Linked DNA regions of Pelodiscus sinensis. Each later gene encodes a partner of the first gene's protein in a complex. Links are inferred from orthologs where the notes say so. Each region holds a gene or a part of one and is shown in the gene's direction. Other genes may lie near its edges. The genes, in order: PTPRG, contactin-4 and CNTN6.

What was found.
Region 2: the proteins of PTPRG (region 1) and contactin-4 are in contact, whole or in part, in a crystal structure (PDB 3KLD), measured with the Mus musculus proteins. The link is inferred for Pelodiscus sinensis from reciprocal best matches to the Homo sapiens genes PTPRG and CNTN4. Residues at the interface, in NP_033007.2 of Mus musculus: Lys222, Val225, His226, His227, Lys229, Phe288, Thr290, Gln293, Asp294, His295, Val296, Lys297, Ser298, Val299, Glu300, Tyr301; in NP_001103219.1 of Mus musculus: Thr128, Arg129, Ser130, Val132, Ser133, Arg135, Gln138, Gly139, Met140, Val141, Leu142, Leu143, Cys144, Gly145, Val219, Met220, Gly221, Glu222, Tyr223, Glu224, Pro225, Lys226, Glu228, Leu250, Asn304.
Region 3: the proteins of PTPRG (region 1) and CNTN6 are in contact, whole or in part, in a crystal structure (PDB 5E5U), measured with the Mus musculus proteins. The link is inferred for Pelodiscus sinensis from reciprocal best matches to the Homo sapiens genes PTPRG and CNTN6. Residues at the interface, in NP_033007.2 of Mus musculus: Val225, His226, His227, Lys229, Phe288, Thr290, Gln292, Gln293, Asp294, His295, Val296, Lys297, Ser298, Val299, Glu300, Tyr301; in NP_059079.2 of Mus musculus: Arg129, Val132, Arg135, Gln138, Gly139, Val140, Val141, Leu142, Leu143, Cys144, Gly145, Met222, Gly223, Tyr225, Glu226, Pro227, Lys228, Glu230, Leu252, Asn306.

Annotation. Positions count from the first base shown.
Region 1 is NC_134721.1:2,585,035-2,592,861, forward strand, and holds the start of PTPRG (receptor-type tyrosine-protein phosphatase gamma), read left to right. Parts: upstream 1-4,806; 5' UTR 4,807-5,292; coding exon 5,293-5,377; intron 5,378-5,704; exon of another isoform or gene 5,705-5,843; intron 5,844-7,827.
Region 2 is NC_134721.1:14,214,445-14,222,512, forward strand, and holds the start of contactin-4, read left to right. Parts: upstream 1-5,035; 5' UTR 5,036-5,234; intron 5,235-8,068. UniProt on the Homo sapiens protein: Contactins mediate cell surface interactions during nervous system development. Has some neurite outgrowth-promoting activity. May be involved in synaptogenesis.
Region 3 is NC_134721.1:13,577,257-13,584,804, forward strand, and holds the start of CNTN6 (contactin-6), read left to right. Parts: upstream 1-4,497; 5' UTR 4,498-4,531; coding exon 4,532-4,673; intron 4,674-7,548. UniProt on the Homo sapiens protein: Contactins mediate cell surface interactions during nervous system development. Participates in oligodendrocytes generation by acting as a ligand of NOTCH1.

The DNA of each region.
Region 1 (7,827 bases):
TGTAAGACTTTTAATGCCTCACAACACACTTAAAGAGGAATGAATCTGTCCTGAGGCTATGGGAAAGTAGCTGTTCTGATAAAATAATCCATGAAACTCCAACTTCAGCACTTCTCCGTTCCTTCCTTTGCAATACCGGTCAGAAATAAAGGCTGCTGAATTCATCTGCAATCTTATAACACACATGACTCCTTGTAATCTGAATTGTAGCCTCTAAGGTACATCATGGTGACGGGCTCTTGCTCTCTCTATCTGAGCCACATCAGTGAGTGGAAATCCATCGGTGCTATCCTGCTTTGCACCAGCGAAAGAAGTCGCCTTTTGTTTTCAAATGTTCCAAAATGGAAGTGGCTACATGCAGATTTAATTCCCTGCCAGCCCCGTTTTTATTCTCCCTCCCTCCCTCAGTTCTTTGTACAGTCATTATACAGATTAACAAGCCTGGTTTGGAAATGATGAATGTTATTAATATTCTTCCAATTCAATAATCCTTCTCGTATTTGAACGGCGTGCAATATTTTTCTGCTTTCTTCAGCTTTTCGCTAATTCAAATATATGACAAATGTGAGTCTTGGTTTCAGTTTTCTATTATTTCCCTTGTCTGATCAAATAAATTAACAGACTGTCATTCCTTTCCCAGGAGTGATGCCCATATGTCAAGGAAGGCAGGGTGAAAATATTACCTGTTCAAACAAGATGATAAAAGTTTTCATACATTATTCACTCGTCCATGCAAACCAGACAGAGATGCTGATCCTATTCCTTTCACCTTGACCAGTGCCCACTATATTTAATGGTAAATAGTGCAAGATTTGCAGAATCTACATCAGTCCAGTCCTCCATGCATCATTTCCCCTTAAAGTCCGCTCTCCTCTTTTCTCACAGTGGCAGTTACTGTGATCACACCCAATGGCAGTAGTCACTTTAAACAATGGGAACGAATCGACTGTCCTAAATGCACACTTCTCCCAGCAACGTGGCATCAGTTTAAATCCAGCATTTCGTGCTGTCGCGGCAGTTTTCTCTATTTGGACTATCAAGGGAAAGATTCCTACCTAGCTATTGTTGTTTGACAATGTGCCATCGGCAAAAAGACGCTGCAGGAAATGGATGCACGTTTAACAATGATGCATACCATTCTCCGGGCCTCTGTCATACATCTGTACCATTCTCCTACCCATCTCAAATGCTAATGGAAAAAGAAAGTTGCTTCCCTCACTACAGGTCTTTATTTGATAGATGATGATGTAATGATTGATCGGCAGCTGTAGGAAAACTGTTATGTACACTGTACCTTTGGCACGTGGAACCAAGAGTTCAGCTCCTTTACTTTTCTCTCGTTTTCTAAATCTTTCATAGATGTTAAGACCCTGAAGGAAGCATTCGGATCTTCTAGTCTGACCTCCTCCATTTCTTTTAATGGGGCACAGCTGTTTACAAAATATGCCTTACGAAGATATATGGGATAATTTGCTGTCTGAATGCCGGCGCCAATGCCGAACGCTTACCTACTTGTATCTCAGTTGTGTGTGTTTGTTCTAAGGATGGGAACGTATAAATCAAAACTCCAAGTTCAAGATGTGGAGTTAGTTTCAGGATTTTAACTTACAAGTCTAGACAGACATAGGCTAATGTAAAATGATCAATATTTTAAAATAAAACACTGTGGTCCCAGTAACGTTCATTAATGATTTTGCATCAGTGAGAATAATTAATGCAAATTGCATTAAAAAAACCCCACAGTTACTTTGTTCTGCCCTTATGAGAATGCAATTGCTTTTTAATTGCTTTTCTCAAATAGCGTCACCTGTTGAACTTCCACTTACAGGCCTGGTTTTGCACACCAGTCTGCTGTAATTTTACAGAGTTAGCCCTTGTTAAAGTAAGAGCACCTGTTTTGCCTATCACTCTGGCTAGGTCAGGGATATGAGGCTCGAAGTGAGAATGTTGCTCAGGTTTTCTGGAGCAAACCAATAGGAGCAGACTAGTTGAATATCTGTTCATAATCCCTAAGGTCAAAACAGGTGTGAGTCCCCTCCTCCTCCCCCACATCCTCATTTGCACAGGAAGAGAAAATGGATACAGTTTTCATAGTTTTACCTTCCTTATTTTCAAGCTACCCGAAAGAAAGTAATATCATGCAGACAAAAATGATGTACTTTGAGAATTGTTCAAGTGCCTACGGTGTTTGTCCATTTCTTCAGGCCTTTGGGTCTTTTGTTTTGGTTGTGGGTTAGTCACTCTGCAAGGGCCTTGAATTGAGATTCCTTGTGTACCCAAAATGTTCATGACCTCAATGGCTGTTTTGAGCGTGCAAGGAATGCAGGATCAGCCCCTAATTCTGAGCTGTACTACATGGCAGGCACAACCTAGAGTGAGGAAAGGGAGAGAGGGCAAAGGCAGACTTAAGGTATCTTTGTGTCTCCTGAATTTGGGGCCTTCCAGGCTATACTACATAAGAACGTCAGAACGGCCAGACTGGGTCAGACCAAAGATCCATCCAGCTCAGTGTCCTCTCTTCCCACAGTAGCCAGTACCAGGTGCTCCAGAGGGAGTGAACAGAACAGGGAATCATCCAGTGATCCCTTCCCTGTCACCCATTCCCAGCTTCTGCCACACAGAGGCTAGGGACACCATCCCTGCCCACTTTGGCTCTTTTTTGAACCTTGTTATAGCCACCCTGTTCTGCATCCGACCTGCTGCACGTGAGCCTGATGGCTCGGGGCTCAGTCTCCTTCCCATGGCAGTGCAGGGCTGTTTCCGGGTGTGCAGCGGGGAGGATTGGAAGAGGGGTTTGCTGCATTCCAGGCCCCTAGGGTACGGCTACACTACAGGACAAAGTCAAATTAAAATACACAACTTCAGCTTCATTAACTGCTTGGGTAAGTAACATCCTCCTTTGCTTTGTTCCTTCTTCCCTTTCATCCGCCCTCCCCCATATAAAACTAGGGTTTGAAAAGGACTCCTAGGTGAAAGGCACTGCACGTCCATAGGGGTAAGCCAATGCCAGCAAATAACAAAAGCAGCAGTGCCCCATTCCAGTCCCAGTACGTCATGTGATTTGTAGCTCTTCTTTGACTGGAGAAAAACAAATCCTGTAATAAGGTATTTTTTGAATATCAGACAAAAACTGTATCGGAATGACATTCAAGTGCCGACAGAAGGTACCAAAGCCAGCCGAGCTCAAGTTAATACTCAAGATAATTCCTTCTCGGTTCAGCCCACTGACTCAGCAGGGCTGGAGCTAGAAGTGCTGGGGGGACTGCCGCACCCCCTGGCTTGAAGTCGTATTAGGAACCCCAGAACCACCTACAACATCCCCCCCACTTAAACATTCTTCTAACACTTCCGCAGTGTGTGTTTCCCATGCCTGTAAAGTTCCTTCCCTGTCTATTGCTGGAGTAGGTGTCAAGTCTATTTTGAAAGTAGCATTTAAAGAAATATTTGTCTTGGTTAAAAAGCCTATGCTAGGACAGTCAAAAAAAGACCTAGCTCCATTTATGGAGGTTAGGTCCATTGATGCTTATTAACCAGGGTGCTTAGGAAAGCTGTCCCTAGTCTCCGTTTGTCAGAGGCTGGGAATAGGTGACAGGAGATGGGTCACTTGATGATTCCCGGTTCTGTTCCCTCCCCCTGGGGCACCTGGCACTGGCCACTGTGGGAAGACAGGACACTGGGCTAGATGGACCTTTGGGGTCTCTTCTGTGCTTCTTTTATTTGGTGTGAGGTCTCTGGCCATCCCCAAAGGAATGATAGAAGACTCCCTCCCGGAGCTAGCAGGACGCTCAGTGTATACAGAGGGCGGCGTCATAACATAAATAACTTCAAACAGATACAATTTAGATAAGAGTGAAGAATTTTAAATTGCAAATGGCAAATGATCTGGACTCAATTACACATTTAATCAAAACCAAGCCGGCCCTAGTTAGAAGCAGTAGAAAGGCAAAATACTGAGCTGCTCGCTCCAACGTGATACCATCTCGCAGCGGAAAGGAAGGGACCGAACTCATTACAGATAAGCCGCGCTCCCATTTCCCTCGGATTGTTTTGTTATTTAAAGGAAAGGGCTAAAAAGGAAATCGCTCCCAAGTATCTGCCCGGCCTCCGGGCGTTGATCCTCCCCGCGGCTCCTTTTAACCCCACGCTGCTCCGGGCAGCAGGGACCGGGGATCCTTAACACATGCACCGCCCGCCGCCAGCCCTTCGTCGCAGGATTGTTCTGGATCCGATTAACACGGCAGCCCATCCGTCCTGCTGTCTGCTGTGGTGGCTCGCTAGTTAGCCCGGCTCCTGCCAAATAGATCGATATTGCTTTAAACCCCCCCTGCTGTCAGGAAATTGAAAAAATATGCAGCAGCAGGTCTGATTTGCAAAGGGACTGGAAGGACCGCGCCGGTTTTCGCCCCCTTCGGAGGGAAAAGAGTGTGTGTGTGTGTGTGTGTGTGTGTGTGTGTGTATCGAAAGGGGTTTGCAGGCGAGTGTGCGCGGCGTGAGACACAAGCTGCACAGTGCGCAAGAGCGTGTGTGCAGGGAGACACACGTGTGTGCACCCCCCCAGAGGTGCTTAGGTGTGAGTACACACACACACACACACACACACACACACACACGGCCCGCTCACTAACCCCTTAGTTTCCCCGGCCAACTCCTCCAGGGTTCCCATCAGCGGGAGCGGCAAAGGGAGGGGGGAAGAGGAAATAAAAAAAAAAGGGGGGGGGGGGAAGGAGAAAAAAATGTGAGCACGGCCCCTTTAAGAGCCCCGGGGGCGCGCACAACCACCCGACTCCCCTTCTCCCCGCGCGCCCCCGCCTCCTCTCTGCCTCTCTCCGCTTTAAAGTGTGAGCCAGGCGCCGGGCTCACATGGCACTTCCTGTGCAGGGCAGAATGGAGCGCGCCCCGCTGCCGCCCGCCCGCCGCCGCCCAGCCCGCCGCGGAGCCCCAACTTCCCGGGGCATGGACTGAGCGCCCGCCCGCCGCCAGCCCCCGCGCTCCGCTGCAGCCATGGCGTGGCCCGGCCAGGCGCTGCCTGCATGAGGAGCCCCAGCCCCGCCGAGGCGCTTCTCCTCCCGCCGCTCGCCGGGGACTGAAGTTGTGAGCGGGCTGCCCGGAGCCCCCTTCCCCCGCCCCCCAGCTCCGCGGCTCCCGGCCTGGCGCTTGCGGGACCCCCTGCGCCGGCTGCATCCCCCCGCCAGGGCGGCGGCGGGGGCCCCGGGGTGTCCGCGCCCCGCGGGGCGCAACTTGGATTGTCAACAAGTTCCCGCCCCGCGCCCCTTTCGATGCGCGCCTTTGGACATGCGGAGGCTACTGCGACCGTGCGGGTGGATCGTGGGCTTGCAACTCGCCAGCGCCGTGCTCCACTACGTGGTGTGCTTCCCCGGTGAGCCGCGCCGCGCCGGCCTGCCCGCGCCCGGGGGGGTTGGTGGGGGGCAGCTCACGCGAGCCCCGGGCGGGCGAGCCCCACTCTGGGGGGGGGGTGTTTGGGGGCCGGTCTGCGCCCTGCCCGGGCTTTGTCTGGCGAGGCGGCTGGGGCTGGTTCCCCCCCCCGCACTTAGCCCAACTCCCCCCCCCCCCCCGCGCGGGGAGCGGGACCGGCTGCGGGAACCTGCCCCCCCCCCCGTGTGTGTGATGGGGGCCGCCTCCCCTGCCCCCGGCCGCCTCCCCTGCTGGGCTTCGCCCGCCCCACCGCGCACTCCCCGGCGCCTACCCCGGGGCGCCCGGTGCCTCCCTCCGGCGCGCTCGGCTTGGCGCAGTGCTGCCCCGGCGGAGCGCGGAGCCGAGCCGGGCAGCCCGGGGCGTGAGTCCGCCCAGCCCGCTGCAGCAGCGGGGGAGCGCGGGGCGCCCTTGGCTCCAGCGGGCCCTGCCGGGGCGCCCCGGGGAGGCTCCCTGCTGCCCCGCGCCCCCAGCCTCAGGGGTGCCCCGCCGCTCCCGGGGCCTCCCACCTGCGCCGCTCGGCTGCGCTCCGCCGCCGTCCCCTTGACCTTGGTGGCGGCCGGGGATGCGGTCTGGGGCCGGCGGGACAAAGGTCGGAGCCTGCCCGGGCTCCGGCGGGGCGAGGTGCGGGCAGAGCCGGGCGGCTGCTCTGTTCCGAGCCGGGCAGAGGAGGGGGCGAGAGCGGAGCCCGATGCGGAAACTTCCCCCGGCGGGGAGGGAGTCGGGCTACAGCCTTCAGGGGCGCGGGGCTGCCCCCCCATGGGGCTGGGATCCCCCCACCCAGATGTTGCCTGAACAGCTGCCAGGCTCGCTGGGGTCCCAGGCAAAAGCCCCCCGCTGCTGCCGAGGCGCGTGGCGAACGGAGCCGGGCGCGTGTGAATGGAGCCCAGAGCTAAGGAAAGTTAAAATGTCAGGGAGCCTTTGCAGGAGGCTGCTTTGCCATTTTCAAAGCTGCAGTGGCGCGGCTCTGCCCCCAGAGGCGCAGCTGAGCCGGGCTGCGTCCCGCGCCTCCCCACAGAGCCCCCCGCGCACGCTCCGGAATGGACGTGTCACTCCTGGGAACTTCTCCGGAGCGTGGCTCTGTCTGGAGTGGGTGTGGCAACGGCCACTGGCCTGCGCATCTGCTGGCTTGCAGCAGCCACTCAGGGTGCCCAGAGGCAGCTGAGAGCAAGGTCTCAGGCTGCCCAGTTTCTCTGGCCAAGGGTTACAACACCCACTCCTGCCACAATATATCTGTGCCCCTTGAGGTTTTAAAGGGGCGTTGCTAACTGCACCTATGTGAAGCCGGTTTCTTAGAGCACCCTGAGAATGTCAGCTGTAGCTGTATTTCTTCCTGCACGTTGCTCTAGAAATATCTAAGGGGTTTCCAGTTTTCCCCATTCCTGTCTTAGGACAATCTTTATTGTGGGGAAGTAGCTGGAAACAAGGAAATGGATTCTGCACGAAGTGCTATCACATGCACACGGCTATCTTTTTTTTTTTTTAAACTTCTTTTGCTTCAAATATTATGACTTGCGTAGCTACAGTATTTTCAGCCAGATGTGGTTTGTTTTATTTAAATAGTAGTGGTTTGGACTTCACTGACTTTCAAAAGTCTGGAGCTATATTTTAAAAACCTACTTCAGTAGCTTATTGCAGAAAGAGCCAATTTTCATGTCTTGCAGGCTCTAGCTGCATGCTTTTTCTGTTAATTTTTATTAGTTTTTTTTAAAGTCAGCCTATGTCTTCATGGAAAGCTGTAACACAAACCTTCTGATGTAACTTGTATTGTAGGCAACTTACAGGATACATTCAGAGTTTTCTGGAAGCTTTCTAGTAACTTTCAGTTCTCATTTTAAATACATACAGGGCAACTGGACTGTATATTCCAATCACTTCAGTAACTTATCAGATAATAAAATGACTTCAAGCAAAAATAAAATAAGCCAGAGTGAGAGTTAAAACCTCCATCTATTTGAAATTTTGCAGCTCTTGAGGAAAAACATTTATCTTTCTTGTATTGATTTCTTCTCTATTTCAGCTCTGAGAGGCCTTTCTTTCTGAGTCTGATGTATAATATGCAGTAATTACATCTAGAAAGCAGGTTCTAAGAACAATTCAGGAAAACAAGCTCTGATGTAGGTTTAATATGACAATATTGTAAGAGTAATTTTATATCAATGGAGTTCAAGCTAGATCATATTTTCATTATAGGTTGATGTGGATATATGCTCCATTGCATGCCCGTGTTCATGTACCATGTGTAGCTAAATGACTTAACAACATACATATCTGTGAAATAGCTATATAATATTTACAGATGCTGTTCATCACGGAGGCTTTTCTTGGAAAGCAAGCTACTTGGCTTTTGTGGATGTAATTCTCAGATGCTGCTACCATGTTAGGCCTCATTGAAAG
Region 2 (8,068 bases), about 12 Mb from region 1:
GCAGGCTCTGGCATTAGGAAGGCAGGATAAGGGCTGTCCTGAAAGTAGGGTGCTGGAATGGCCTAGTGGATAGAGCATTTGCTTGGGGAATGCTATTTGATGGGTTTAAGTCCTGTCCCCCTCTTTGCTTACCCAGGCAGCCACAGGGGGCAATACCCCCTGTCCTGGCATTACAGCTGCTGGGCCCAGGGACCAAAGCCCAGTGTCTTCGGCCCTGGGTGGCAGAGCCCAGCCACAGGCCCCCTGCCTCGGGTTGAAGCCCAAAGTCCTCAACCTCTGGCTTTGGATCCTCAGCCAAGGGGACTCAGGTGGGTTTAGATTTTGGTCTCCCATCCTGGGGTAATTAATTTTTGTTCCCAGAAGGAAGTTGTGGTGCAAAAAAATTTCAGAACTCCAGAGCTAGAGACTCTAATCAGGACTGAAATCTTCACGGTATCAGGTGACCTACTGACATAGGAAGAGAGAGAGGTTATTGCTCCAAAGAGCTAAAGCTACATAGGAAAAAAAGGGGCTGGAGCAGTAGAGACGGATACATTATATCTGCAGAACAATCACAGTGATGGAAAATGTATATGTCCTATGCTTCTTACATAAGAACATAACATAAGAACATAAGAACGGCCGTACTGGGTCAGACCAAAGGTCCTTCTAGCCCAGTATCCTGTCTACCGACAGTGGCCTGCACCAGGTGCCCCAGAGAGGGTGGACCAAAGACAATGATCAAGCGATTTGTCTCCTGCCATCTCTCTCCAGCCTCTGAAAAACAGAGGCCAAGGACACCATTTTATCCCCTGGCTAATAGCCTTTTATGGACCTAACCTCCATGAAATTATCTAGCTTCTCTTTAAACTCTATTATAATCCTAGCCTTCACAGCCTCCTCTGGCAAGGAGTTCCACAGGTTGACTACACGCTGTGTGAAGAAGAACTTTCTTTTATTCATTTTAAACCTGCTACCCATTAATTTCATTTGATGTCCTCTAGTTCTTCTATTTAGGGAACTAATAAATAACTTTTCTTTATCAGCCCTCTCCACACCACTCATGATTTTATAGACCTCTATCATATCCCCCCTCAGTCTCCTCTTTTCTAAACTGAAAAGTCCCAGTCGCTTTAACCTCTCCTCATATGGGACCCGCTCCAAATCCCTAATCATTTTAGTTGCCCTTTTCTGAACCCTTTCCAAGGCCAAAATATCTTTTTTGAGGTGAGGAGACCACAACTGTACACAGTATTCAAGATGTGGGCATACCATAGTTTTATACTGGGCAGTAAGATATTCTGGGTCTTATTTTCTATCCCTTTCCTAATAATTCCTAGCAACCTATTTGCCTTTTTGACCGCCGCTGCACACTGCATGGAAGTTTTCAGAGAACTGTCCACGATAACTCCAAGATCCCTTTCCTGATTTGTCGTAGCCAAATTAGCCCCCATCATACTGTACATATAGTTGGGGTTATTTTTCCCGATGTGCATTACTTTACACTTACCCACATTAAATTTCATTTGCCATTTTCCTGCCCCATCACTGAGTTTGGTGAGATCTTCTTGGAGTCCCTCACAGTCTGCTTCTGTCTTGACTATCCTAAACAGATTGGTATCATCCGCAAACTTTACTACCTCACTGCTTACCCCTTTCTCCAGATCATTTATGAATAAGTTGAAAAGGATTGGTCCCAGGACTGACCCTTGGAGTACACCACTAGTTACCCCTCTCCAATCTGAAAATTTACCATTTATTCCTACCCTTTGTTTCCTGTCTTTTAACCAGTTCGCAATCCAAGAAAGGACCTTCCCTCTTATCCCATGGCCATGTAATTTACACAAGAGCCTTTGGTGAGGGACCTTGTCAAAGGCTTTCTGAAAATCCAAGTATACTATATCTACTGCATCCCCCTTATCCGCATGCTTGTTAACCCCTTCAAAGAACTCTAATACATTAGTAAGACAGGATTTCCCTTTACAGAATCCATGTTGACTTTTGTCCAACAAATTATGTTTTTCTACATGCTTCACAATTTTATTCTTTACTATTGTTTCGACTAATTTGCCCGGTTCTTATCTGAGTTGATTTTATTTTGGGATTTTCTTAAGCATGCAACGAGGGATCAGATAGGGTGATGAAAAAGGCAGGAAAATAGGGATGAATTCACAGGAGGAAGAGAGTGGGAAGGACAAAGGAAGAGGACCAGGGAGTTTAAGATGAATGGAAAAGTGGAGAAGAAAAGCTGGTGAGAAGCAAAGTGGGCAAGGCATGTGAGGCAGGGAGCAGAGCAAATGGCCAAAGGTAAAATCAAAGGTCCACAATTGTAATTTAAGAAGTCAGAGTCTAATGACATCACCAACATTCAGAGGTGAAAAAGCAGAGGGAAGGGAGAACAGTAAGAGGGTTATTAGGGCTTCATCCTCGGACCCTTGTGAAGAGGATTCCTTCTAGCTCTTGAAATTTGCTTAGACTCCAAAAGTGACTGCTTATACTTCCACTAAGCCCAAAAAGTGGGCTTCATAGGCAAAGGGGGTTGAAAAATGTTTTGACATTTTTCCTTCCAAAACTCCCATTTATGTCAAACAAAGTGTTTCATTGAACTGTATTAGTTCTAAGAAAATGTCACTGGGATGGCTTCTTTGGTCCAGGGTGCAGTTTCACACAGACACACACAGAGAAGAATTAAGAGCTTGTCAGTTTGGGCTCTGAATCAATGAAAACAGGGACTTAAATGTGAGTCTCTCACTTCCCTGCTAAGTACCCCAAATCACATTGACTATTTCAGGGTGTTTTTTTTTCTCGCGCTTTCTCTTTTTCTCCATGAAAAATTTTGAAATGTCTCATTTTTGCTCCTATGTAGGAAAAGAACAGTTTGCAAAATGGAATTGTTGTTTTCTCATCAGTCCTATGCATAAGACCTGCTTCCCTGCATATGCTCTCACCATCATTAGGTCTTGGGAAGGGAGGGTAAGTCAGGGAGGGTATGTCTACACTACCCCCCCTAGTTCGAACTAGGGGGGGTAATGTAGTCATACAGAGTTGCAAATGATGCCCGGGATTTAAATTTCCCGGGCTTCATTGGCATAAAACCGGCCGGCGCCATTTTTAAATGTCAGCTAGGTCGGACCCCGTGCCGCGCGGCTACACGCGGCACGGACTAGCTAGTTCGGATTAGGCTTCCTAATCCAAACTAGCTGTACACCTCGTGGAACAAGGTGTACAGATAGTTCGGATTAGGAAGCCTAATCCGAACTAGCTAGTCCGTGCCGCGTGTAGCCACGCGGCACGGGGTCCGACCTAGCCGGAATTTAAAAATGGCGCCAGCCGGCTTTATGCAAATGAAGCCCGGGAAATTCAAATCCCAGGCTTCATTTGCAACTCCGTATGACTACATTACCCCCCCTAGTTCGAACTAGGGGGGTAGTGTACACATACCCGGAGGGAGAGGCAGTTGGCCTCATCCTCTACCCCAGGGATGGAAAAGCTCAGGCCTGGGGGCTGGATGCAGACCCTGGCTTGCCAGGATCTAGTCCCCAAGGATCAGGGATCCCCTGCCACTCCACTGTGGGGCTGGAGCACACAAACTCTTACTTGTGGGTGACCTGAAACTAGTTTTTCAGTGAACCCTGACCCAAAAAAGATTCCTTACCCCTGCTCTACCTCCTTTCACTAAATAGATGGCTGTTGGGCATTTCCTTTGGGTAAACTTTAAGGATTTTCAAGGTACATCTTCTCTGAGTTAAAGTAAATAGAGAAGGTTTTGGAGGGTTTTTTTTAATAGGGTGGAAACATAGACTTAGAAGAATTTGATTTTTTTTTAAATCCAATGATAATATCTAAGTTCATTTTTAAATATTTGAAAAGATTTTTTTTATCTGTTTACATGTTCACAGTTGTGCCTAACTGTATTTTAAGCATATTTAAAAATTTGTATTAAGATAACATTTAAGGGAAATTAAGAGTGTGTGTGTGCCCGGCAATCATTATTATAATGTCAGGTTGAGATTCCAAGAGTTAGCTTTACAACCATTGTAACACAAATTGGCAACATCACATTTCAAAATACACCAAGCAAAGTATAATAAGTTCTCAAACAACATTTTTCTTACTTTGCCTATCTATAAATTTTACTTGTTACGGAGGGAATGGGGAGAGAAAGAAAAAGAGTGTTGAAATTGACATTTACTGATGAATATCGAACTCTTCCAAGCCTAAGCTTAGGCCAGTGGATAAAGCATCAGCCTGGGGACCAGGAGCACATGCATCTAGTGCCACTGAACTATGTGGCTTTGACTATATGTCTACAGTGAGAAACCAAACCCTGCTACAAGCCATTCTCAGAGCCTGGGTCTACAGATTCCAGCTTGCCCTGCCGTGCTAACTGGAGCTCTGTGGATGCTCTGGTCTGGCTCTTAAGCCTGTCCAGGGATGAGTTTCAGCGCTCTAAAGCCAGCCCAAGCCCCTACCGCTACCTGACTATTTTTCGCGTGCGCCGGAGTCTCTAGACCCAGGTTCTCCAGTTGGATGTAGGGTTTTTTGGTTTTATTTTGGTTTTGGTTTTTTGCTCTGTAAACATACCCTAAACCACTTTCTCGCTCCGGTCCTCTTTCTCCGCTTTGCCTGCGCGTTTACACTGTATGCTCTTTAGGGCAGCACACTGCCGAACGGGATCCGAATCTGGGAGGGGGTGTCTCCAGAGGTTATTGTCACGTCCGTCAGGATCAGGGAGCGGTGACCCCCTCGAAAGCAAAGGCGAGCGGACTGACTCTTGCCTGCAGCAAAGCTGTCACCCCTGCAGGGGGGTGTAATGGAACCACGGTCAGCGGGAGCCACGCGAACCTGCCCCCTGCAGAGAGCCGGCTGAAGGGGGATCCAGCCAGGGTCCCGGGCTCCCCACGCAGGGCTGGCGGACCGGGGTCCACGCCGGAGGCGCGGGTAGTTGGCACACACGCCTGGTCTTTCGTTCTCTCCTCCCCCACGGGCGGGCGGCCCCGGCTCAGGTTTGGGGGGTGGGGTTTGCGCGGCGCTCACAGGGCTCCCCAATCTCTGACGTTCAACGCCGCGGCCAAGGGCTGCTCGGTGTAAGAACAGCCCTGCGGGCTGCGCGGCAGAGCGGGGAGGCAGCGCTCGGGCAAAGGACGCCTCGGCTGCGCCGCTGCACAGAGCCCGCGTCTCCGCTGCAGCCGCCGCCGCTGATCGCCCGGCCGGGGGGCGGGGGGATCGGACCGCAGCTCGCAGCCTGCTCGAAGGTAAGCCCGGGCGGGGACTGGAGCGGGGCGCCGCGGATCACCCAGGCTGCTGCTGGCGCGGAGAAAAGGCGGGGAGAAGTAGTGGGGGGGGGGGGGGGGGTCAGATGGACCAGACCTGCCGGGGGGGGGGGGGAGCTGCCGGCTTGGCCCCTGCTGCCCCAGCCCGCTCCGGCTGCAAGCGAGGAACTAAGTTTGTTTGTTGTCGGACAGCCCTGCCCCCGCCCCCAGCCCGCCACCGCCGGGGCCAGGACTCGCCCTTGTGCAAAGGGCCCCAGTGCACCGGGCGTAGCAGCGCCCGCAGCAGCCGCTCCCCGGGCGGTCCCTGCGCTGGCGGAGGGTCCGGCGATTCGGAGACTTTGCCAAGGAGCAGGTTTGTTACGGGGGGGGGGCGACGCGCAGAGAGGGGATCGGCCAGTGCTGGATCCTGCGGGACCCCGGCAGCGAGCACTGGGGAGGCAGCAGAACTCCAGGGGCTGAAGTTGCGTGGTGGCAAAGGGGCTTGGGAAAGAGACCCAGGGCATCGGCTCCCCTCCCTTCCCGGCTGATTCCCACCGCCCCAGCCAGACTGCTCCGTTCCACACGGAGGGCTCACCCGGAGAACTCCCGATTTCCCGCTCCGCTTTGCTAGACAGCGGCTATCTGGGCAGCCCCTTGGCCACCGAGCCCAGCCAGCGGCACCCGGGCGGGCTGGCTTCCGCGCCGCATCGTGCCTCCCCGCCAGGCGCTCGGCAGTGGGTCGCGGCGACGGAGCCGTTCGTGTGATTCAGCCCCGAAGGGAACCGCGTTCGCTCCTCCTGCGAACTTCAACCTGGGGGAGCGCTGGTCGCGGCTGCCCCCTTGGAGCCAAAGAACCAAGGGGCGCGAGATCCCTGCAGCATGGCGAAGCCCAGGCGCCTAGGAGAGGAGCCTGGTGCAAGGGGATGGCTCTCCTGTGCTTCGCAAGCCCCGACCGACACGCCTGACAGAGATCGATCAAGCCAGTGTCCTTGGGAGATGCTGGAGATGCTGAGTGCAGCTCGGCGAGGAAAGGACCAAGCCGAGCGTGTGTGCCGGGGGGTGGAGGGGCTTGCCGTGTCGCTACCTAGTACAAACCTATGCAGAACTTTCGCGTGTTGCAAACGAGTGTTTCTTGATGCTTAGGGGGTTTGGCAGCTCTTCCTTTCCGAGGGCTGATGTTAGCTCTCCGTGTGAGGAGTAACATAATGCAGCATGTTGTTTTATTTATCCCCGAGAAGCGTGCCTTGCTCCCTAACCTACAAATTACACGATGTTGCTTGCATAACAAGTGGAATTAGTTTGGATCTTACATACTAATGTTAGGTCACCTTTTGGAATAAATGGAAGCAGATTTCTGCAGGAGGAGATAAAAGGAGGCTTTTGTCTGTGGCCATGTATTTGTTTTTTTCCGCCCCTTAGCAGATGAATGAAGGTAAAATATTAAAGAGATGCCAGCCACATGTATGCATGTACGATTATTTTCCCCTCTTTCATCTTTTGTATCTGCCCTCATTTTAAAAATCTATGGTTCATGATTTTTATATGCTAACAGATAAGTCACCGGAGTTGCATGCAGTAGAAGTTGATGCAGGCTTCCTATTAAAACAGTCCTGCTATTTTGGAAATCCATTATTAAATAGTTATTTTTTAAAAATAACTGTTTCAACTGCTGGGAATGCCATGGGGCATAAGATCAGAGCATGTTTAACAAGGGTAGTTTTCCACCTGAAATAACCCACTCATGTCTCTAGTTATCAGTAATTCTTCCTAGCATCTCTTTCTCTGTGTAGAACTCAAAACTAATATGCAAAATCAGGTGCTAGATTGGTGGTGGGAGAATGCAGGGGAGAAAAAATTCCTGGTGCGTTTGCTGTTTTTCTCTGCAGGAAACTTTGTCTTCTCTGTCTAGGCTCATCAAAGTTTTTGTGTTATTAAATTGCATTTGCCAGTTACTGATCCTGCATAAATGACTTCTCAATAATCTCTTAAAGTCCCCCCACTCCTTCATCTGCTGTTATAACTTCTTATTTTTCAAAGATTACTCCCCCCTCCTAGTTCTATTAGGTTCCCTACTTCCTCCTTTAGAGGAATGTATGCTGCTAATTTTCCCCAAACTCCTGATTCTTTTAGGCAATGGCTTCCAGTGCAGAATACACTACAGTGTATTTATCTTCATAGCTTCTGTGTGCACACCAAAGACAAATTAAAGTCATGATCCAAACACCACTGAAGTCAATGGAAAAAGACTTTGATTAACTTCAACAGGCTTTGTGTCAGTGAACTGTTGAGGGAGGGAGAGTAGGGGTGAAGCTCTAAATGTATGACATTTATAAATAGTTGTACATGTGCTCAAAAAATGTGCATGTTTGAAAATGGTGCCCATTTACACCATAGGTTGTTTGAAGATCATGCTTAAGTGAAATCATACCTAAAATGCCCAGATTTCTTGAAGAGCTCTTTGTTTTGAATGTATTCAGAGGAACTCTGATGACTAGAACTGAAGAATTTGGAAATCTCTCTTACAGTTTAATTTAAGGGCTCCATTGTAGCTGCTTTCATTTTCCTGAAGCTTAAGCTTTTCTTGGATCATGAATGGAAGTTAAATTGCTTTTTCCTTAACAAGAGGAAGTCCAGGGAGCTTTGCCATGGCGTAGGGAAATTGAGCAGTAAAATAACACTTGAGTGCCTTAATCATGAACTTGCATGACAACTCCAGTCATGTGCTATTGAGATATGAAATTCTTTACTGCTGGAGTTATGTGCAACCATTTAGTGCCTCCAAACCTTGTGCTATGAGACAAGTTACAGCTAGTAGCCTCTAGTCTTCTTTTCCATGA
Region 3 (7,548 bases), about 11 Mb from region 1:
ACCAGCATCCATGATAACCAATCCGCCTCTCCTCTGAGAGTATCATTTTTAAAATTCCCAAAGGGCAGAGGTGGGTAGAAATGGAGCCTATCCTTTCATTATTTTGTCCATCAGTTAGTCCTAATTTCTAACACACCAGTTTTGGTCCACCGATTTTCAGTCCCACATTTCTGTTGTTTAACAGGGCATGATCTTTACAAAATCTTGAATTATATCTGTAGGCCTTTTGCATTTGGCCTAATAATCCGTGTCCCTTTCCTGATAAATATTTATTGTTACAGATTATTGTGCTATTTTATCAACTGTTTTATTCACTTCCTTGCATTTAGGATCATAGCTGGGGTCGCTGCACTAGGCCCCAATGATCACTACAGGTCTTTTAAAAAAGATATGTTCCAGTTCAACCAGATGTTTTGGGCCTGATGGAGGATTTGGTCTATTCTTCATGTTATGTAAGAGATCAGAATTAGGAATGTTAACAAATTAACTGGAAAGCATACTGAGACTTAATAGTAGGCTTCCTGGTTGATGAGCTAGATGCCAGCATGGGGGCTGACAGTCTTGCCAGGTCCCTGTGAAAGGTGGGGGAAAGTCTGGCTCCAAGCTCCCAGAAGGGGAAGGGCTTCAGATGGAAAGGGACGGGATTGGGTCAGCCAGCCCTCAGTACTGTCCATACCACCTCCTCCCTCCCAGAGTTGCCTGGAGCATGCTGTGTGGTGTTCCAGCAGCAATTTAGAGGGCTCAGGGTGCCTCCATTGTGGCAGTAATGGTGACAGCAGCCAGGAACCGCAGACCCTCTGGAATCACCAGGCCCTGGGACATTTGCACTCTTTGTCACTCCCCCATCGACAGGTCTTGGTGGCAGAACCTAAGTAAAAATGGGCAACCGTTAAGCGCTATCATTTAATCAGTTAACTGTTTTAACATTCCTAATCAGAATAGTTGATCCTATTTTTCCTGTCTAGCCTTAAACTCTATGAATCTATAAAACACATGGGCTACGTCTACACTGGCACCCTTTTCCGGAAATGCTTATAACGGAACAGTTTTCCGTTATAAGTATTTCCGGAAAAAGCGTGTCTACTTTGGCAGGATGCTTTTCCAGAAAAGCACTTTTTCCGGAAAAGCGTCCGTGGCCAATGTAGACGCGCTTTTCCAGAAAAAAGCCCCGATTGTCATTTTCTCGATCGGGGATTTTTTGTGGAAAAGACTACTGTGCTGTCTACACTGGCCCTTTTCCAGAACAGTTTTTCCGGAAAAGGACTTTTGCCCGAACGGGAGCAGCATAGTTTTTCCGGAAAAACACTGACAATTTTACAGTAGATCGTCATTGCTTTTCCAGAAAAGCAAGCAGCCAGTGTAGACAGCTGGCAAGTTATTCCGGAAAAGTGGCTGCTTTTCTGGAATAAATGGCCCAGTGTAGACACAGCCGTATAGTATTTATTTCACTAGAGGTCTTTTTTTCATCAGTCTTATTTGAGAACATTTCCTCTCTAGGCAAATATTTAAACTAAGCTCAGTGACTTGCATATTTTTGGTTCTATTCTGAAGATAAATTAGCAGTCAGTGATGTATTTTTGACATGCAATGATAAATATACATTTTAAATTATTGAATTCAAAAAAGGTTCATAAAACTATTAGATCAGCTGGGATTAATATAAAGATATTAAAAATGATTTGAAATAATCCTTCATGGATTAGTTAATATCAGATAAATACACTAGGGCACACATGCTATGATTAAACACTTGTCTGGCAATCACATGGATTCATTAATTCTGTTCCTTCATTGATTTAAACATATTAATTAGGAAAAAAGCCCACACCAGGAGCTGAACCCCTGATCTATATGCACAGTTTAATAATCATTGTACCATGGTGATTAGAATGATTATGGGGATAGTGTGAAAAATTCATTTGCTGCAACTAAGCCAACAACTTTGCATTTGTGTTGAAAAACAATTATGGAGCTTAATTGGGAGCCATGTAATGATGACAGCAGTTATTTCAGTGATTGATTCTCAAATTAAAGAGAGCTGGCAAACTAAATACCACTATTTCCTATGCTAGAAAACTAAAAGGAGAACCAAGGTCCAGAGAGCATGTACAGTACACAAATTATGAAATATGGAGAACTACTGACTGTGATATAGAGAACTGCTTCTTATAGAAGGCTGATGGATGGCCATTGCCTACAGCTCTGCTTGTCCTGATAAAAATGTAAAAGATAAAGGAATCCAGGGATCAAAATTAGCAGTAACTAGAGGCAAGCAAACTATTGCTGTTCTGCAGTTGCCACTAGACTTCTTAATGCTAAAGCATTCATAAAACAGAAGTCAGAGATATGGAGGATCCAGCTAAATTATTTAAAGCTTCTAGAATTTGTTCACAAAAATTCAATTGATTTGATATTTGATCAATCACTTCTCATCTTTAAAAGCATATATCCCTCTCCAAGGTCATGTTTCTTGTCTTTCTCTGTATATATTTGTCAAGATTTTCCTTAGAGCGTGCAATGACATTTCACACGATTCTTTGAAGCAGTTTCTCCTACTCACAAATAATCCGCACAATCAAATTCTTGGAGAAACTCCTCTCAGCGGTTGGCTCATATACATTTTTTTGCAATATATATCAGGGACAGTTCCTCAGATGTATAGCCCTATTGATTTTAATGAAGCTATGCCAGTTTATGACGGCTGAAGATCAGCTACCAGTGTTTACATTTGTGGGAAACAGTTTTAGTTTAGAAGATATTGGTGAAGGTACAAAAGTCTCTTTCAAGTTTTAGACTATAGTATCTAGTTCAGCTAAACTATCATCACTTATTGCTGAAACTAATTAGTACTCTATATTTTGCTCTGTTAGTCTATGGATAATTAAACAAAATTCCCATGGTGCAGAGAACTTACAGAAGGCATCCATGCCACTTAAGCCATGCACAAGATTTCTATATATTTTGGGGTATGTCTAGACTACATGGCTCCATCGACGGAGCCATGTAAACTCGTTTACCCGACACAGTCAATGAAGCGTGGATTTAAATAATCCCTACTTCATTAAAATAAGAATGGCCACCGCTCTGTGCCGACAATCAGCTGATACGGCACAGAGCGGCAGTCTAAACGCAGATCGGTAGACAAGGGAAGCCTATATCAATCGCTCCCTTATGCTTTGTGAAATCCCCGCTTCATTGACTATGTCAGGTAAAGTAGTTTACATGGCTCCGTCGATGGAGCCATGTAGTCTAGACATACCCTTGCAGGTCATAGAGGGGTCCACATCACATCTACATGTCAGTGCAGTGTTTAGATAGAGTGGAATGGGGGAATGCATTAGGTGAAAAATGATAAGGATCATGTGGAACTAGTGTGGAAAAAAACCCCTTATGTATAGTGCAAGGATAAGGCTCTAGATATTATTCAAGACCACTGCTTGGACAACACCTACTGAAGGGCCTCGCCCATATGAATGCTAGTTTTTTGGGGCTTTAACTGAGTTATGTGAATTCCATTCTAATGTGAATAATGGCAAAGCCCTGAGACACTTCCTTTTTAAAAATTAAATATATATATACAGGCAGTCCCCGGGTTACATGGATCTGACTTACATCGGATCCCTACTTACAAACGGGGTGAGGCAACCCCGCACTAGCTGCTTGCCCCCAACAGACCAGGGAGACACGAAGCTAGCGCCTCCCCGCCCCCCACAGACCAGGGAGACACGGAGCGGCTTTTCTCAGCAGACACCTCAGCTTGAGAATAAAGGACTGAGGGAAGTGAGGTGTGGGAGAATAAAACTGAGCTCTGGAGAAATGTTTGGCTAGAGTTTCCCCTACAATATGTACCAGTTCCGACTTACATACAAATTCAACTTAAGAACAAACCTACAGTCCCTATCTTGTACGTAACCCGGGGACTGCTTGTATATATATTTATTTTCAATGAAATATTATGTTTATTTTGACATTTGGAAGTAGCTGTGAAATGTTGCAGACTCAATCTTTCTACTTAACAGACTGATAGTGACAACTCATGTTTTAAAATAGCACCATTCTTATTATTGTATTATCAATCTCAGACATGCTATAGAAAACCTGGCTGTTTTCTTCTGCTCTTTGAAGTATAATCCTTTCCTGATTTATATCTCTAAAACATTTCTATAAGCAAATTTATGACATCACTTGCAAAGGCAATAAAACACTTTCAGGTACCATTTATATTATAAAAATAATGCATCTGCAGTCAAGGTATCTGTACTCCCAATTGGATGAATAATTTAATTTTTTATAAATAAGTTATAATTACCTTTTGTGGATATGGGTTGAACTCTGGTGACTAACATACAAGCAGCAAAGATTTTTAAACCGAAGAAATATTGATAATATTAAGATTGATACACTTTTTTTGTTACAGGGATGCTACAGCACACTATTTGATAAATCTGAATAGATGCTGTAAATTATAAGCATAATTTGATTTTTTTCCCCTCAAAGGTGGAAGCAAAATGGTACAGATATTGATCTTACCATGAGTTATCACTACAGGTTGGTTGAAGGCAGCTTGGCAATCAATAACCCACATACAAAACAGGATATTGGAACATACCAGTGTTTGGCCACAAATTCATTTGGAACAATTCTGAGCAGGAAAGCAAAGCTTCAGTTTGCATGTAAGTTATGAAAGCATTACTTTCTAACTAATTTTGTATGTGTCATGTCATTTATTTGATCATTAAAAGTATCACAATGACTACAATGAAAGGGGTGAATTTATCTCTGCAGTGCTTTTCTATTTTAGATTTAAAAAATCCTATTTTCTTATAAATATTTACAACTAAAACAGACTTCCGATTCCTTACAGCACTCAGAGAACAATAATTACCACTGCTGACTGAAAGGTCAAGAAAGATGAATGCAATTACTTTTGTTTAATAAAGCTATTACAATTTTTAAGAGGGTGGGGTTTTTTTTTGGCCTGAGTGATGTTCATTAGTTATCTTCTTCCATACCTAGCCACACGTGCAAAGAAAAAAAAGCTAAAAAAATGCAGAAGACTAGGCTTTATGGTTGCTTCTGCATAATGATGCCCAGCAGTGTCACATAAATGTCACACCAGTAATTACCTCAGTGACATTTTGTTACATTAAGAGATATACAGGAAGATTCTCTTCTTCTTTATATACTGTGTAAAAGGATATTGTTGTGCTGTGCTGAAATGTATCATATTTCAGCCGGGTTGGATGCAGTCACAGATGTCAATTTGAACCAGTTTCTGAATTATTATGCTAACCCTTTTATTATTTCTTCTGCACATTTTTGAATGGTAACTGAATTTTATTGGTACCCTCAAAGGAAACTTGAAGGAAGCCACACATTTTACATGCACTCATTTTTTTCTCCTTTCTAAAGGTCTGCACTGCCTGTTACTGTGAGAAAGCAATTGTTTTCAAAACTCATTAATAAAACATACATCTAAAGCCAACCTTATGTCGCTATTTCAGACATCAGTAAATGTATTAATTATTAATCCTGTTCCATTTCTCATAGCAAATCTCATGTCACAAAGGTTATACAAAGGAGACATCAGAAGTTGAGATAGTTCACAGACTTTCTTTTCATAAAGCTGATCATTTGGTTTTATCATTTGTACTGAGTTTTGTAATTTTTCCTTTTAATTTCTTAAGCAAAGAGATTTGGTCTCTAGAGATCGGGGCAAATGAAAACCAAATTTTAATTCATCATAGTCTGACCCTTTATATTTGCTTTTCTCAAATATTTCTGCGAGCAACCTTTTGTTCGTGGGAAATGAATTCCAAGCTAGTAGGTGAAATTTGCTTTGTGACCAAACAAAATCCCTGTCAGGCAGAAATAGTGGAGCAGCCATATTAGAATTTTGTTTGTGGAAACTGTGAGTACATCTACTCTGTGTAGCTATTTCAGGATACTGAGGTATCCCGAAATAGCTACTCCACATCTTAACAAGCCACCTGTTATTTCAAAATATTTTTCAAAACAACGGGTGCGCTATTTTGGCATCCCTGTATCCCTCATTTCACGAAGGTTAAGGGATGTCTCAAAATAGTGTATTATTTCAAAATTTGGCACTATGTAGACATGCCAAATTTAAAAATAAGGTATTTCAAAATAGAATTGATATAAGACGCACAATTTCCATAGAGCAAATTGCATATCTTATTTCAAGTTTAGGGTGCTGTGTAGACGCACCCTGTGAGTGAAGAAAGAAGCAGGGTAAGTTACTGGGAGGAAACTGGGGAATGAATGGAAGAGGATGAGCTCAAAAGAGGAAAAGGAATGTACCAAGAGAGACTATGAGGAGGAAGCTGAAGGCTATATGCCAAAAACACCTCCAATTATGGTATTCATTACAGACTCCATCTCCGCATGGATTGAAGGAAACTCCTCAGTTCCTTCAGCCATAGGCACACTATACTGCCAAGAGGAAGATGTATCCATTGAAAGGGACCCTGTAGAAAAAAATAAAAAAAATATTCATACCCTATTCACAGGATTTCCTGAAGGTTTCTAGGAATATTACTTTTTTCACAGCCTGGATTGCAAGGGTAGGAAAAGGAGGGAGCTACAAAATATGAAAAGGAGCTTTGGAAGAGTAGAATAGAAGAGAAGGGTGGCCTGCAGGAAGGACTGTCTCTTTTCACTTGAAAGAAGGAAAGGAAAACCATTCTCTGCCAGGCTGCTGTTGCAATGTTGTTTTTACACATTTATTTTATGAATCACATGATCAATGGTATTAGCTAGGATTACTAACAGAGATACATTCCATATACAGAGCTGGTGTTTGAAGTAACATCCACCAATGCAGAGAAGGAAAACTTTGCCAAGTAGTGGAATAGAAACACAAACCTGTATTTAGCCAAAGAACTTGAAGGTGAGAATAAATCTGAGGCAAACTGCAAAGATACATATCTCCAAACTGAGTAGGAGTTAACATTATTGTATGGTGCTAGGCCAAAAGTAGATGGATTTCTTTCAGAAGTACAACATAGCTCTCAGAAACGCAGAGGAAATTGTCTTTGCCAGACAAATAATATTAAGATGGACAAACAAGAATTCAATATGCTTCAGCAGTGGAGAGCAAGGATATTACATAGGAGACTCTCTCAATCCTAGATTAGTGTACCAAATACTGGCCACATGTTATCAGGAGTCAAACTTAAAGGAAAAATATAAATGATTTTTTTTCTTCTGTCTGTTGGCCAGAAAAGCTACATCACAATCAGATACAATTAAAGCAATTCAACAACTAGTAAGGACTATGACTGTATGGATAGTGTTAAATGGTTTTATCTGTTTAATACAGGAATTTTGGCACTCTACCCTGGTGAAGCATTCTTCCAGAATAACTTAATTCATTGAGAAATAAGATCCCTTGGTTTTAGAGGTTAAAGATCAAGCAGTTAGTTTACTGAGGCTTTGTGTCCTCAGAGACACACTTTGCACAGCTACTTGTAGGACCAATATTGAACACAAGATTCTATTTTTGTGGATCAGATGAACCAGCAAGTT